Callithrix jacchus: one gene and its partners. The protein of the gene in region 2 interacts with the protein of the main gene of each other region in a pairwise test. Links are inferred from orthologs where the notes say so. Each region holds a gene or a part of one and is shown on either strand. Other genes may lie near its edges.

Region 1 (4,272 bases), on a different chromosome or scaffold from region 2:
CCGTGAGCCCACACAGTAGGGCCCTCAGGCCTCAGCCATGTTCCTGTCCACTCTCTCCCAGGATCACATGCAAACGAATGAACAGACAGCCAGTTCTGCTATCCCTGAATGCTTCCCAAAGGGACAGCTGGGCAGTGCATGCCTGTGTGCATCAGGGAGGAAGTCTCCTGAGCCCTGAAGGATCTACTCGCTTTTGGGAGACTGCTTCAAGATTCCTCCAGCCCCAGCTCCGGCTCCTGTTTCTCTGGGGTTCCCAGGCCTTTTTCTCCATGTGTTGTGGAGCTCTTCAAGGTCAGGGACCCAGGGCTCATTCATTCAATCAGCAGACATCCAAGAAGCACCTACTGTGGTCCAGGCTGGGCCCTGGACACCCTAAAATGAGTCACAGTCCTGCCTTCAAGGGCTTCACAGACAACCACCACTCTATCAGACTCAGCTCACTAGTCACCTCCCCAGGGAAGCCTTCCTTGATTGCCCTGGCTAAGTCAGAGCGCTGTTACGTACTTTCAAACCACGGTCACTTCTCCCTCACATCATCCATCCCAGCTGTGTTTTGCATCTACTTCTGTGGATCTTTTTTCAACTCTATGTCCCCTGCTCAGCTGTACGCTCCCAGAGGGCAGTCTCTGGATCTGGTCTGTTCAAATCATCCCCGGCATCTGGTCCAGGACAGGGGCCCAACGGCAATGCAGGGCCCAGGGGTGACTGAATGGGAGGTTAAACCTCTCAGTGCTAACTTTCCATCTGGGACTGAGTCAGCCAGCCACTTCCCCTCATCCCCTGACCCCTGGCCCTACTTTGGAATGTTTCCTGCCCAGCTTTGAGAGTGGGCCTGACTGGTTCCTGTACTCCTGGCCCAAACCCCCTGACTCAAACCCCACCTACTCTTGGGTACCCTCAGCTGTCTGCTGTCAGCTCTGCTTTCTCTTCCACAGTTCCCCTGGAAAGTACGCTGTCTGCAGAGACTTCCAGAGCTTCCCCCTCCTACCCACCACCCTGCCACCCTGGCTATTACCTAGTTCCAGTGGCAGATGGGGACATTGAGGGTCCTGGTTGCTGTAGCAGAGCTCACCAGGGTTCAAAGATCCAAAGTCAAAAGATCATTGGTTCCTCACCCTGGCAAGCCCAACTGCCCCCCTCCCATGATTCTGTAGACCTGTGGGTGGGTGGAGGGGGAAGGTGGATTAAGACCAGCCCATCCTGCAGGCTGCCACACTAAACAGGTGCTTTCTACAGGGTTACTGGGTGAGTGGGTAGGTGGCAGCTAGGTCAGGCCCCATCCCTCACTCATTAACCCTTCCTGCAGTCAGAGGCCTGTCCCCACTGCCTGCTGACCCTGCCTGGCCAAGGGTGAGGACTCGCCTCTGGTTCAGAGCCTCAGCTAGCTTCCCGCGTCTAGCTGTAGGTCAGTCTAGTCTCACTAGTCCCACTGGTGAACCGAAGCTACCAGGAGGGCGAAACCGGCTCTACCCCATCCTCCGAGACCTAGTAAGTACAGCCTCTGGAACCTGGACTATCGAGAAAGCCTGGGGTCCTCTCCCTGCCCCCGAGCTTTGCAGACTGTTTTCTAGCCCTTCCTGTTCTAATGGGACTGAGGAGATGCAAAACCCTGGGGAGGAAAGACACTATGTTGGGTCATCCCTTCCCAAGGAGCCCCAAAATCTGGGGACAAGAACCTGGGCTCCAACTCACTTCGTTACCAGATCCACTAGGGTGCCAAGCAGGGAGTGGCTCACACCCCTCACTTCTAGCTCAGCTGGGTGAGGTCTTCGATACCTTGCCCCACCCTGTGGCTGCAGGCGCCGGCTCTGGGCGGGGGACAAACACTCGGGTCACGTGGTGGAGGCCCTGGGAAACTCCGAGGAGCGCGGCAGGCCGGGCATCCCTGGGTAGTAGGACTCGGGCGGCCGCGGCCAGAATTCGCACACCCGGCGTGAAGAAGCACGGGTCCGTTTCCTTCGCTCGGGTCCTTGTTCCGCGTTTACTCCTGTGGAGAGCCCAGGGCACGCCCTCTCCGAGGTACACACTGCTGGTGTACAGGCCCCAGGGAGCGCGCGCGCGGACACGCACACACAAGCACACGCGCAACACAACACAACACAACACACGCACACGCGCCCCCCGAAGTACACCGCGGACGCACGCACCGGGCAGGACACCCAGGCCTCCCGCCAGGGAACACACGTCCGCCCGCCCTCGGACGTAAACAAACCGCGCACGCACCGCCCGCGGGCGCCGGGCCAGGGCCTGTTCCCACCGAGTCACGTAGGAGCACAGCGCCCCCGCCCCCGCCGGGCGGACGCGGAGATCGCCAGCCTGCGCTGCCCCTTCCTCCCCGGCGCCGCCGCCTCCCCGCCCGCTCCCCGGGAAGGGGCCCCGTCTCCACCCCCACTCCGCCGAGCTGGCCTCGGCCCCGTCTCGGCGTCCCCGGGACGGCCGCTCCCCTCTCCCGCCCCCAGCCGTCCGATGAGTGACGGAGTCCCTGGAGCCCCGACGGATCCGGCCCGGGCGCCCGCTTCAGGCGCGTCCCGGGGCGCGGAAACCCTGCCGCTTCGGGGTCCCGCGCACCGTCCTCCTGGCCCCGCGTTCCTCACCCGCCTCTGGGCCCGCCTGGCCCGGCGCGCTCGCACGCGCGCGTCTCTCGGCTGTCCCGGCCCGCGCTCTGGTCCGTCTCCCCTCCGCTCTGAGCCGCAGGTCGCTCTGAACCGGGCGCCCGGGAGCGCTGCGCAGAGTTTTGTTGTGGGGCGGGCGGCGCAGGGGGCCGAGGCAGCGCGGAGTTGTAAAGCGAGCTTCCCGGAATTACTCACTCACAGGATTCCTTTCATTCATAAAAACCCAGTCATGCGGTGACGTCACCGCCCCGGCCGCCCTCCGGCCCGGAGCGGCCGCCTGGTCCCTCGGCCCCGCCCCTTCTGACCCCGCCCCCGGATGCCCCGCCCCCAGGGCCGCAGCGATTCTCTGCCCGGTTCCAGCCTTTGCTGGGTTCGTTCACGTGACACCTCGCGAGAGCCCGGTGGGTGGAGGTGTCATTGGTTCATTTTACAGTCAGGGGTCCTGGACCTCTTCTTTCGACCTACAGCTTCTGCCTTAATGATCTCATCTCATCCAGTTCGTGTCTTTAAATGTCATCTACGTGGCTGTAAGTCCCAGGTTTGTATTTCCAGAGCGAACAGCTTCTCTGAGTTCCAGACTCATAGCCAGCAACCCAGTCTGCGTCTCCAGTGGGTGTCAGATGGGAGACGACTGCAAACGACTCGGCCCAAAGCCTGCACCTGATGGTCAGTTAACTCCGCTCCCTACCACCCGATCTCAGCTGTTCAAGCCAGAACCTGGGATCCTGGCTCCATCCCTCACTTTCACTTCCTCCCCACCTGAGAACTCTAGCGGTGTTTCTGGGTCTCCTGCATAGGACCACTTCTCACCACCTCCAGTCCTGCCACTTGGTCCTGGCACCATCAGCTCACCCGGACAGTGGCAGCAGCCTCTGGATAGACAGGCTCCCTACTTTGCCTCCAAAGTCTGTCTTCCTACACCAGGCAATGTTCTTCTCAAAAGAAAGCTCAGGTTGTTTACACACCTCCTCTGGCCAGTCTCTCCTCATCCACCACTCTTCAGCCACAGTACCCTTCTTTCTGTCCCCCAAACATACTAAGCCCATTCTTGCCACAGGCCCTTGGCACTGGCTGTCTCTTCTGTTCACTGGCCTGCCTCTTTCTCATCTTTCAGGTCAGCTCAGATGTCACTGCCTCAGAGAGACCTTTCTGATCACCCTGGTTAAAGCAATCTTCACCTCTGAATTTTTTGTTGTTGTTTTGTTTTGTTTTCTTATTGTTTTTGAGACAGGGTCTCACTCTGTCACCCAGGCTGGAGTGCAGTGGCACAGTCTCAGCTTACTTTGGGGGGTACATCACAATCAGGGGAGGAGGGCCACATAAACATGAGGGATGCATGCTGTGATGGGAAGCCCCACCCAAAAGAGATGGCTTTGGAAGCCACATGGGGGATAGACGTTGCCATTCATCCCCCCCTTTCCTTTTCTCATGATGTTCTCACTGCCTGAAATTCCATCGCTCCCACAGCCTCTCCTGTGAAATTGACATCATGGCACTTATTCCACTGTGGAGGGCATAGGACCTCTCCAAATGGGAGGCCTCTGTGTGGCACCCTGATCACCAGCAAGGATCCCCACTTTCCTTGACATGGCGAATTCGATTTCAGAGCCCTTATCTTGCTTTCCTTCCTCTGCGCCTCAGTCTACCAGACGCTCGGGCT
Region 2 (3,559 bases):
GTTGTTTTATACGTCACCTCATTGTCATCTACAAACGGGAATGTCTGCGCCAAAAGCTGCATGCAGTCATCGAAGTACAAAGCATCTGATTTGGGAATGTGGGCAGCCTGATAAAAGGGAGTAACACAAAAGAAGACAAAAATGATTATTCCATTGCCAAGCTAAATATTCATAATTGATGTTCATAAAATGTTTATAATCAAGTAAATATCTTATTTCAGAGATCACCTCAGGGCACAATTTGAACCAGACCACCTGGGTTCAAATCTTAGCTCCTCCAATTTTCTGAGTGATCTGGGCAAATTAACCTTTTTGAGCTTCAGTTGCTCATCGTAGATAAAATAGGGATAATGGTACCTAATTCATACAGTTGTGTTGATTAAATCAGTCAGTATATGTTAAGTTCTTAAAACAGTGCTTGCCGCAGTACTGTAAGTAATCCCTATTACTTGGTTCTACTGCCACTGCTTCTGTTGCTGCTACTTGATCCTTATAGGAGGTTTCTGAACTTTACAAAACTCTTTCTTGTAACTCATGTCCTCCTAATCCTCACAATAACTTTGTAAGATTAGTAGGTTTGGGTAGTGAACTCAAAAGTAGATTTGACAAAGTAAATAAAAGACACAGCGAAAGGCAAAGCTGGAATGCAAATCCAGATAGTTTAATTCCTTGGTCAGTCTTTACTTAAACCCTGCCATAACTTTCCCAAGAACTGAGTACTCTGTACCTGGGAGTAGTTGGCAGATCCACTGGTTTCTGACTGGATGTGCTGGGCTGGCTGAATTGGGAGAAATTCACCTGTCTCTTCATCTAGTTGTAATTGAGCGAAAAAGGCTTTCTCTTGCTCCTTTTGGAGTTGTTCTTGTCTTTCCTTTTCAAGTTTTTTCTGTTTTTCCAGCTCATACTCTTTCCGTCGCTGACTGAAGTCAAATACTTCTCGACTTACCCCAAGATCTATATCTTGCCTCCAAAGTATGTCAATCAAATCCATGTCCTATGTTTAAAACAAAAAGAGGAAGGAGAGAGACCATGGTTAAGATGGCAGATACCACATAAATTAATTCACATTATGCCACTGTTGATGGTGGGGAAATGACAAATACAATCTAAATGAGAACATAGGTCCAATGTTCTAGAAGAGCACAGTTAATTCCATTCAATGAATCTATTCATTAAAGACAACAAACAACCTACAAACACATAGTCATCCATTCTATCACTTGGATCATTAATGACTGGGTGATGGTAGAGGTCACTAAAGGGCAAAGTCACAAATGGTTTGAATTAAAAGAAATTCCACTCTTGTTTAATGGAAAATAGAAATTAGAGCAAGCATGCTAAGCCACTGGCTTATGAGAAGTAGGGTTTGGAAAACTCTACTGAGTAAATACATAGAGTTTTCTTTAAACTTTGCTCAGAAAATATCCAGTTTATAGAGGGGTAACTCCCAAGTTAAAAAGTGTCAATCTAGCAGTTGTGAAATATCACCATTCTTTCCATCTTTCCTACACTAGATTATCTTCTCCCATCACTGCTTGCTACTCTTATCTCTGTGGCTCACCTATTAAATAACTTCCTTTTTGACTTGAGTTTTAGTTGAGACATGAAAAAGTTTAAGACTAGGGTTGTCTACTGCTTAACAAAAAGTTGAGAAAGGGATGAGACCCCACTAGCTTCCTTCCTGAGAATTATCAATAATCCTCTTTACAAAAGTTAGCTGGGCATGGTGGTGCACGCGTGTAGTCCCAGCTACTCGGGAAGCTGAGGCAGAAGAATTGCTTGAACCCAGGAGGCGGAGGTTTCGGTGAGCCGAGATCACACCACTGTGCTCCAGCCTGGGTGACAGAGCAAGACTCCATCTCAGAGATGAAAAAAAAAAGGGACAGTTGCGGTGGTTCATGCCCTGCAAGCCCAGCACTTTGGGAGGCTGAGGAGGAATGGATTGCTTCATCTAAGGAGTTCGAGACCAGCCTGGGTAATATAAAGAGACCCTATTTCTACCAATGCGGGGGAGAGGAGAAACAAGTGTGGTGGCGCACACCTGTAGTCCCAGCTACTCATGAGGCTGAGGTGGGAGGATCACTTGAGTCCAGGAGGTTGAGGCTGCAGTGAGCCATGATCACCCACTGCACTCCAACCTGGGCAATAAAGTGAGACCCTGTCTCAAAAATAAATAAATAAAACCCTGGCTCCAGGGAAGGATCAAAAGTATTAAGTTTTAAGATACAGGAAGACTCTTACAAAGAGTGAAGGTTTTGATTTAGTAAAAGATACATGAGGAGAGTCTGGGCTTGGTGACTTATTCCTCCTCCTCCTAGGAGTTTGGGAGGCCGAGGCAGGAGGATTGCTGGAGCCCAGGAGTTTGACCTTAGCCTGGGCACCATAGTGACACCTGTGTCTACTAAAAACCAAAACAAATTAGTTGCACGTGGTGGTGTGCACCTATAGTCCCAAATACTAGGGAGGCTGAAGTGAGAGGATCACTTGAGCCCAGGAAGTCAAGGCCATGGTGAGCATTGCACCACTGCGCACCAGCAGCCTGGGTGACAAGCAAGACCCTGTTTCACATACAAAAAAAGATACACGGGGAGAGAATTCATATGACTAGGCTAGGCATAGGAACCACATCCAGAATTTCTTAACCACGTATGTGTCAATAGCAGTTTTTCTGATTTGTAATTTTTGGAAATTCTAAATTTCCAAAATTTAGTCTTTGGAAAAATCTAAATAGGTAGGAAATCTAAATCTGTTTCCATTTCACAAATCACCTATAGGGGAAATAATGAATTCGAGAATGGAAAAAAATCAAGATGAGGGAATGGCAGTTGGGACCTGAAGGCCAGTGGACACTGTGTGGATACATGTCACACTTTGTATTTCAGTTCTGCTGACAGCTGGCAACGCCAGGCTTACAGCTCTATGACTTTCATCTTCCCAAGGACACAAATAACATGGTGGTTGTTTCAGTGAGGAGTCAGGCTATTTTTATCCAACAGAGGAGCAGCAGGCCACCCAGCCTGGAGGCAGCACAGCTAGCTGGATGGCACAGGCCACCTGTACCCATGCCTGAAGGTTGGTGTTGGAATCTTAAATGCTATGAAACCCTGCTCATGGGGCTCCTCATTATTCTAGCCTTCAACAATATATAGTGTAAAGCACACAGAGTAAGCATAGTTAGTAGTCAGGTATACCTCGATAGGATACACCTAGTTATTTTTAAGCCAGTGTCTATTAAGGGCTTCCTATATGCCATGCACTGTTCTAAGTACTTTACATATAAAAACTATTCCTTAAAACAGCCTTATACAGATAAAACATGCCTGTTTTACGGTATAAGAATACTGAGGTTTAGAAAGAAGAGATACTACCAGAAAGCGGCTGAACAAGGACACACAGCCTGGCAGCTTCACTCGGGTTCATGCTTTATTAGCCATGAGCCTACACTAACATAAAATGGCATAGCATTTGCATGTAACCTATGCACATCCCCTTACAAACTTTAAATCATCTCTGGATTACAATACCTAATAAAGTATAAATGCTATGTAAGTAGCTGTTA
Region 3 (4,327 bases), on a different chromosome or scaffold from region 2:
CCTAGACTGCGAGAGTCCCCACGGTCCAGCTTTTCTGGACACAGCCCCCCTCAGCATGCAGGAGGCACCCCGCTTGGCACCCCTAGCTTGGCCCACACCAGCTCGCAGCCTGGTCCTGGCTGGCCGCCCTCCAGCAAGCCACAACTGTCAGACCCACTTGGAGGACGTCTGGTCACCTTGCATTTGTAGTCTGAGGAAGCTGTGTCATCCCACTACATCCAGAGGTGACTCAGGCAGCTGCAGCAGCAGAGAGCAAACTGCAGAACACACCCGCTCCAGTCCCTGCCCTAGCTCCCATACCATCCTCCTGTCCTCGGCCTCTGCTCCCCATCAGCATCCTGTTCTTCCCCAACCGCCCTGGGGCTTTACCCAGCTCCTCCAGCCTCCAAGTACAACCAGGGGCATTTCAGGGGGCCCAGACGCACCCCCCCAGCCCCCAACTGCATCATTCAATGGTGTGGCCCCAACCCTCTCTCCTTTCCTTGTCCACTCACCGACCTGGCTTGATCCCAATCCCCAAGCATTGCCTGCCCGAACCCATGGCACCTGCCCTGGCTCGGGCCTCCAACTTCTCTTGTCTAGACCACAGCTTTGGCCAAATGGGATGCCCTCACCCTGATCCTGGCGCCCCACACGCAGCAACACAGGCTTGGGGTTCCTCCGGAACCCCAACTCCTCCGTCCCAAAGCCATGGCAGGTTTCTGATCCCCCCACCATCTGCACTGAGCACATGGTTCCTGCCCACCCTCAAGCCCTGCTTCTTCCAGAAACACTCTCCATTGTCCTCATGAAGGCAAACACCCTCTACCAAGGCCTGGTTCTAGATCCTTCTGGGGACAGGGGGCCTCCCCACAGCATGGTAAGCTCCTTGAAGTAGGGAGCATGTCTTCCCTACACCCTACACGAGCCCCCGCTGCAAGAGATGAGCCAGCCCCGCACAGGAGGGCAGGGAGAGAGCAGCCTCCACCCCAATACTTTCCCCAACGTGCCCGAAGCACAGCGTGGAGAAGCAGGCAGGCTCTAGACCAGACCCCACCAGCCCTGGGGCCAGGCCAGCAGATGTCACAGCCTGGGTTTCCTCATCTAGAGTGGCCGGTCAGGGTGGGGTGTGTAGCCACTCAGGTTCATGTGTACCTGCTCTAAACTCCGATTTTAAGACGACACTCCCAGTTTCCTGAAACTGCAGGAAAGCGGAAACATGACGAGTCTGTGACTTATAAAAAGCAAAAATAAATAGCAGGGAAAAGCATCTTCCATTCTCGGAGAGCAAGGAGGGTGGGGACGGAGCGGTGAGTCACTGTTTACTGTGGAGAGGCAGCCACACAGAGCGTTCTCCCAGCTGGCCAGATTTCCATTTCCCGTGTGGACTGGACCCGAAACCCAGAAAGTCCACTCCAGAAACCTTTAGACTCAGAAACAGCTGGGACAGGAACAGGCACAACTTCTTCTAGGTCTGGGTGGTAAACAGCTTTTGCCGGTGACTGTAAACAAACGCTGCAGCCATTGGCGAGCCCCGTGGATGAAAGCACGCGCCTTGTAGACACAGAGTGGCCCAACACAGCAGCCTCCCAGGCGCACAGAAAGGCTGGCACCCCGACAGCCCTGACCCTCGGTAAACACTGGCTCCCCCCGTTTACTGGCACCTGGGGAGTCAACAACACTGCAGGGAACCAGCCCCTCAAAGCCCTGGTTGAGTTCAAGGCTAAAAGGCAGGAGAAGCCTGGTTTGTGTTTTTGCTTGAATAAATGGCTTATTTTGGAATAATGAGAGGTCTAGTTTTAAAAGTAGACTCCCTCTACCAAGGTCAAACTCACACATTCCTGCTGGGTTACCTAAGGAGGGGAGACGGTCTCATAAATGGTGCTGATGCCCAAACAGGGTGCAGGTGTGTCCCAGCCACCTGCACAGCCCACCCACACTCTCCAGACCCCACCCACAGCTCTTTTAACACTCCAAGTCCCTGAAGATGCTGGGCTTGGAGAAGCTGCACCATGCACCCCCCTGTCTTGGAGATCCCTTTACAACACACGCTAAAACCTCAACGCCAGTCCAGAAACCTAGAAGCCTACCCTGGAGAATCAGAGGGGCAAGAAGGGCTGTGCCGGAGCCCACACAGATATCCCTATCCCACACAGATATCCCTAACCCACAGTGTCCGGCAGTGGGTGGGAGGTTTGAGTCTCAGGATCTTCCCAAGGCCAGGCACCTGGCCAGAGAGTGGCTGGCTGCCTGTGGGTCACTTGATGAATGAATGGTGCAGTGGATCTGATTTCTGCCTAGGCTACAAAAGCCGCGTTAAGAAGCAAGCAACAGCATGCTCAGGGGCACAGGACCAGAGAGAGGCACACAGGAGGCCCCGAGAACACACCGGGCAAGAGCATGAGAACACAGCACACACAGCTCAAGGCCACTACTGTGCCCCAGGCAGACCCAGGTTAAGGGCCAAGGCCAGGCCAGGTCCTGGCTTTCTGGGTTCCTCGGTGGCACCTCCTCCCACGCCCCCGGATCTAGAGGCTGTGCAGACACACACGCAAGCGCACGCACACACACAGTCACAGGCACATACACAGTTTCCTGAACTTGACAGAGGCACAGAAGAACCCATGCAGTGGGAGCTGGAAGAGGCCTGAGCCCCTGCCCCACAAGTGGGCAAAAGGATACGCGCCTTGGGGCCACTGTCACCTGCCCCCTCTAGCCTCCCGCAAGGTCTTCCTTCCCCCACCCCCCCGCAGGTGGGCGGCTGAGAGCTACACCAGTCCCAGAACCCCGCCTCTGGGGAGACTCGGTTACCCCTAGCCCGTCACCGGGCGCGCGTGGGCCCTGCCATTGGGCCGAAGCGCCGCCAGTCACGAGGAGGAAGCGCGGGAGGCAGGCCAGGGCGCACGCGGAAGCCACGCTGGGGCGGAAGCCGCGGGGAATCCACGCGCCCGCGCCCTCCCCGCGCCGCCCGCACGTGGCGCCCGCCCCGCCCCCCGCAGGTGTGAAGGCGCGGGCCCGGTGCGCGCCCCCTCCCCACGGGGGCCCCCGTTCCCCCAAGTCTGGCGTCCACGCCCCAGGGCCCCGGGCACCACAAGCATGGCCCGGGAGGCACGCTCAGGGGTGGGAGCCTCGCATCCCGGCGCCGGGCCCGGGGAAGCCCCCTTGGCCTGCGGGGCGGGACCCACCTGAGCAGGTGCGCGGGCCGCCCCGTGGGCCGCATAGGAGTCTCGGGCCCTGCGCACCCGGCCCCGCCACCCCCGGCCCGCGCCGGGGGCTACTGTGATTCAGCGGCCAGGAGGCCCGGCCCCGCGACCCCTCCCGGCTGCCCGGCCGCCCCGCCGCCCCTCACCTGGCGTCGCGCGGGTGGCGCGGGCGCGCGGCGGCTCCTCGCGGGCACGCGCTGTCCTCGCGCCGGCGCTCACTCTGGCGCTCCCCTCAGCCGCCGCCGCCGCCTGGCGCTCGGGCTCAGACTTTGCGAAGAACAACAAGCCCCCCCCGCCGCCCGCCGCCACCGCGCCCGCCCTCCCGGTTCCCCAGCATCTGACACCGCTTCCGGGATCCGCGACGCGCACGTCATGCCGCCCCGCCCGCGACCACGCCCCCGGCCACGCCTTCCTCTCCTGCCAGAGGGGGCCTCTGGCCCACCGCGCACCTGCAATCCCCGCGCTTTGAGAGGCCCAGCGGGAGGATCGCTGGAGGCAGGGAGTTCAAGACCAGCCTGGGCAACATAGCGAAACCTCCCTTTCCCTATTCCCCGTCTCTACAAATAAAAAAATTTAAGGCCAGCTGGGCACGGTGGCTCAAGCCTGTAATCCCAGCACTTTGGGAGGCCAAACCAAGAGGATCGCTTGAGCTCAAGAGTTCCAGACCAGCCTAGGCAATATCATGAGACTCCATCTCTACAAAAAAATGGCAAAAATTAGTCGGGTGTGGTGGTATGTGCCTGTAGCCCCAGTTATTCAGGAAGCTGAGGCAGGAGGATGGCTTGAACCTGGAAGGCCGAGGCTGCAGTGAGCCATGATTTTGCCACTGTACTCTAGCCTGGGTGACGTGGTGAGATCCTGTCTCAAAAAACAAAACAGGCAAATCAGTAATGTAAAAATGGGGATGAGTACCGGGCGCAGTGGCTCATGCCTGTAATCCCAGCACTTTGGGAGGCCAAGGCGGGCAGATCACGAGGTCAAGAGCTCGAGACCATCCTGGTCAACATGGTGAAACCCCATCTCTACTAAAAATACAAAAATTAGCTGGGCGTGGTGGTGCGCGCCTGTAGTCCCAGCTATTCTCGAGGCTGAGGCAGGAGTATTGCTTGAACCCAGGAGGTGGAGGTTGCAGTCAGCCGAGATCA
Region 4 (4,228 bases), on a different chromosome or scaffold from region 2:
GAGGGGCTGCGGCCTGGACTCCTGGGTCTGAGGGGGGAGGCGCTGGGGGCCTGGACTCCTGGGTCTGAGGGAGGAGGGGCTGGGGTCTGGACACCTGGGTCCGAGGGAGGAGGGGCTGCGGCCTGGACTCCTGCGTCTGAGGGAGGAGGGGCTGGGGTCTGGACCCCTGGGTCCGAGGGAGGAGGGACTGGGGTCTGCACTCCTGGGTCCGAGGAGGGAGAGGCTGGAGTCTGCACTCCTGGGTCTGAGGGGGGAGAGGCTGGGGTCTGGACTCCTGGGTCCGAGGGAGGAGGCGCTGAGGGTCTGGACTCCTGGGTCTGAGGGAGGAGGGGCTGGGGTCTGGACTCCTGGGTCCGAGGGAGGAGGGGCTGGGGTCTGGATTCCTGGGTCCGAGGGAGGAGGGGCTGGGGTCTGGACCCCTGGGTCCCAGGGAGGAGGCGCTGAGGGTCTGGACTCCTGGGTCCGAGGGAGGAGGGACTGGGGTCTGGACTCCTGGGTCCGAGGGAGGAGGAGCTGGGCTCTGGATTCCTGGGTCCGAGGGAGGAGGGGCTGGGGTCTGCACTCCTGGGTCTGAGGGAGGAGGGGCTGCGGCCTGGACTCCTGGGTCCGAGGGAGGAGGGGCTGGGATCTGCACTCCTGGGTCCGAGTGGGGAGGGGCTGGGGTCTGCACTCCTGGCTCCGAGGCGGGAGAGGCTGGGGTCTGCACTCCTGGGTCCGAGGGGGGAGAGGCTGGGGTCTGCACTCCTGGCTCCGAGGCGGGAGAGGCTGGGGTCTGCACTCCTGGGTCCGAGGCGGGAGAGGCTGGGGTCTGCACTCCTGGGTCCGAGGGGGAGGGGCTGGGGTCTGCACTCCTGGGTCCGAGGGGGAGGGGCTGGGGTCTGCACTCCTGGGTCCGAGGCGGGAGAGGCTGGGGTCTGCACTCCTGGGTCCGAGGGGGGAGGGGCTGGGGTCTGCACTCCTGGGTCCGAGGGGGGAGGGGCTGGGGTCTGGACTCCTGGGTCCGAGGCGGGAGGGGCTGGGGTCTGGACTCCTGGCTCCGAGGGGGGAGGGGCTGGGGTCTGCACTCCTGGGTCCGAAGGGGGAGAGGCTGGGGTCTGCACTCCTGGGTCCGAGGCGGGAGAGGCTGGGGTCTGCACTCCTGGGTCCGAGGGGGAGGGGCTGGGGTCTGCACTCCTGGGTCCGAGGGGGAGGGGCTGGGGTCTGCACTCCTGGGTCCGAGGCGGGAGAGGCTGGGGTCTGCACTCCTGGGTCCGAGGGGGGAGGGGCTGGGGTCTGCACTCCTGGGTCCGAGGGGGGAGGGGCTGGGGTCTGGACTCCTGGGTCCGAGGCGGGAGGGGCTGGGGTCTGGACTCCTGGCTCCGAGGGGGGAGGGGCTGGGGTCTGCACTCCTGGGTCCGAGGCGGGAGAGGCTGGGGTCTGGACTCCTGGGTCCGAGGGGGGAGGGGCTGGAGTCTGCACTCCTGGGTCCGAAGGGGGAGAGGCTGGGGTCTGCACTCCTGGGTCCGAGGCGGGAGAGGCTGGGGTCTGCACTCCTGGGTCCGAGGGGGGAGGGGCTGGGGTCTGCACTCCTGGCTCCGAGGCGGGAGAGGCCGGGGTCTGGACTCCTGGCTGTCTCAGGAGGACAGGCCCTGGTAGGTGTGGTCTGAGGCACAGCCCGGAGGCTGCAGACCCTGCCCCCCTCAGCACAGCTGTTCTCTTTTGTCTTATGACAAGCCCATGGGAACCTGATCCAGCTGGGATTAGGAGGAGGCATTTGAGAAGGGACAGTGGCCTGAAGACAATAGCTGCCCCACCCCCAGGAGCTATTTTGGGGGGATGTCGTAGATGGTGAAACAGAGGACATTTCCTAAGAAGGGATTTGAGGAAGGGGGGCTTCTGGGAGAGCTGGTCACCTGCATCCCTCTCCCACCCACCCCTCCCGCTGGCTGCTTTCCTCCCCACCTGTCTCCCCTTTCACCTTCCCATACATCACACGGGGCGGGGGGGTTGGGGCAGCGCCCAAAGGGCACCTTCTGTCCACAGACCTCACTCTGACCCCTACATTCTTAGACCCCGAAGTCTTCAAGACATCCTAGGCCACAGGGTGCCCATCCCCAAATCCCAATACCCATGGATTCTGAGACCTGGATTTTTGGTGCCTGTGTTTCTGAGACCACAAGTCCTCACAGCTCCAGATTCTGACAGCCCATTTCCTGATGGTCCACATATGGGCCAGGACATCCTAAGACCTCCTAAATTCTGAAGCCTCGAGAATATGAGACCCCCCCAAAACCTTGATACCCAAACTCGGAGGCCCAAATGATGACGCCCCAGATAATGACACTCCAGGTGGTGATGGTTTCTATCCTAAACCTCAGATTCTGAGGCTTCCACTCCTAAAACCCCAGATTCTGAGACCCCGCCCCAATTCCTGATACCCTCAGAGTCTGAGCCCCAAATCCTGATACCCAGACTGTTTGACCTCCAAGTCCAGATGTCCCTGACTTCTGAGCTTTCCCCCAAGACCCCCAGAACCCCAAGATCTAGGTGGTTTTATTCTGGGACACCCAAGTCCTGGCAGCCCCAGACTAGGATCTCTGTAACCCACAAATCCTAATATTTTCCCCTCTATCCCAAGTCCCCCTAAAGTCCGAGCCTCTCAAGTTCCGAGACCTCCAGTTGTATTCCCCATGTACCTCTGCATGATTTCTCCACACCCCACATCTTCCCCACCTGCCTCCTGCCCCCTCTCCCAAGGACACCGTCCGTGGAGATCACAGGGCCCAGCAGAGCCCCTTACCTATACCTAGGCTGCGTCTGAGATCCTGTGAATCTTGTGGCTGAGCCTCACCACGGGCACTGAAGCTCCAGGGGTTTTATAGCTGGAGGCTGGGCCCCGCCCCGAGGGGAGAGGGAGGAGGAGAGAATTCCTTTGCTCAAACACAAGTCTGGGAGCTCAGAGACAGCCCTGCTGTTCCTCTCGTTTTTCAAACTAAGGGTCCAAATGCCTCCGTGGGCTCCTCCCCAACCCCATCAGCGGGGCCCTGGAGCCCTGCTCCCACCCCCAGCCCCAGGCCCCCACGGTGCTCCAGCTACCTCCCTTATAGCTGCCTCCCTGCATTTGATGTCCCAACGTCCAGCACACAGTAGGTCCTTGGAGAACCTACTAATGACAAAAAGGCTATAAGGAATGTTTCCAGTTTTCCTCTCTGTTCCCTCTTTCTGGACCCGTTTCTGTGGTCTCTGTGGCTCTCCATCTGTGTATCTCTATATGTCTGTCTCTGCTGCTTAGTCTCCCCCTGTGTCTGTCCATCTTTCTGTCTCCCCACCCCCACCCCTTTGTCTGCCACCAGGATTCCATACTTGTGACAACAGGCACTAAAGCCAGGAAGCAGGTGTTGGGGGGAGGGGAGGGGAGGATGGGGTGTCAATTAGGGTGGAAACCTACCCTCTCTCCCCCCGTCCATCTGACACTGATCTTTTTTGGCATCCCCCTCCCTCTTCCCAGCCAAGCCACGACCTTGAACTCCAGGTTCAACCAGCCCTGGAGAGCAGACTTCCTCACCCTTCACGCCTCTCAGTGTCTGTCTCCTGTGGTATCAGTCTTTGTGTGTTTCTATGCATTTTCTGGGGTCCCTCGCTGGCTCTCTGTCTTGGGCTGTCTCTGAATCTGTCTCTTTCCGTGACCCTCAGTGTGTTTCTTGGCAAATGTCTCCAGGTGGTTTTGTCTCTGCATGTCTGCCCCTCTCTGCGTTTGTGTCTGTGGGGGCTCACAGTCTCTCTGTGCATTTCTGTCCACCTGAGACCCCATATCTGTGTGGGTAACCCCTTTCTGGGCACCAAGGAAGGAGAGCTAAGCAGACCCCCGGCACGATTAGTGCCTGAAGAATATCTTACTGCTCACTCCTCACTTATTTCCTTTTATATATAATCTCTTCATAGATAATCATGCCTTAGTTTGTAGTTGGAGGAATGTCTAGAGCAGACACACTGCAGAGCATGAACTAGGGAAAAACAGCCACACCAGGACAAGAATCAATGACCCAGGCGGTAGAGCCCCTGCCTGAAAGGGCAAGCGCTACGTGGCAGGTCTGCCCAGGTGGCAGCGTTCGGGTATGGTAATGACACCCGCTGTATGGCAGGCTTGCAGCAAGAGTCACTCCTCCTGAAAGGGAGTTGTAGTATCTTGTGCAGAGTTCTTGTGGAAAGCTGGCCTCAGGCTGGCAATCCCTCCAACGTCCGAGGGCTT

What was found.
Region 1: the proteins of NFE2L2 (region 2) and MAFF interact in binary tests that used the Homo sapiens proteins (3 or more experiments, as listed by UniProt). The link is inferred for Callithrix jacchus from reciprocal best matches to the Homo sapiens genes NFE2L2 and MAFF.
Region 3: the proteins of NFE2L2 (region 2) and MAFK interact in binary tests that used the Homo sapiens proteins (3 or more experiments, as listed by UniProt). The link is inferred for Callithrix jacchus from reciprocal best matches to the Homo sapiens genes NFE2L2 and MAFK.
Region 4: the proteins of NFE2L2 (region 2) and TNNT1 interact in binary tests that used the Homo sapiens proteins (3 or more experiments, as listed by UniProt). The two-hybrid records come from large-scale screens. The link is inferred for Callithrix jacchus from reciprocal best matches to the Homo sapiens genes NFE2L2 and TNNT1.

Annotation. Positions count from the first base shown.
Region 1 is NC_133502.1:209,188,404-209,192,675, reverse strand, and holds the start of MAFF (transcription factor MafF), read right to left. Parts: upstream 2,806-4,272; 5' UTR 2,595-2,805; intron 1-2,594. UniProt on the Homo sapiens protein: Since they lack a putative transactivation domain, the small Mafs behave as transcriptional repressors when they dimerize among themselves.
Region 2 is NC_133507.1:52,139,404-52,142,962, reverse strand, and holds part of NFE2L2 (nuclear factor erythroid 2-related factor 2), read right to left. Parts: intron 995-3,559; coding exon 728-994; intron 108-727; coding exon 18-107; intron 1-17.
Region 3 is NC_133503.1:57,503,437-57,507,763, forward strand, and holds the start of MAFK (transcription factor MafK), read right to left. Parts: upstream 2,851-4,327; 5' UTR 2,606-2,850; coding exon 2,567-2,605; intron 1-2,566. UniProt on the Homo sapiens protein: Since they lack a putative transactivation domain, the small Mafs behave as transcriptional repressors when they dimerize among themselves.
Region 4 is NC_133523.1:48,010,614-48,014,841, forward strand, and holds the start of TNNT1 (troponin T, slow skeletal muscle), read right to left. Parts: upstream 2,832-4,228; 5' UTR 2,780-2,831; intron 1-2,779. UniProt on the Homo sapiens protein: Troponin T is the tropomyosin-binding subunit of troponin, the thin filament regulatory complex which confers calcium-sensitivity to striated muscle actomyosin ATPase activity.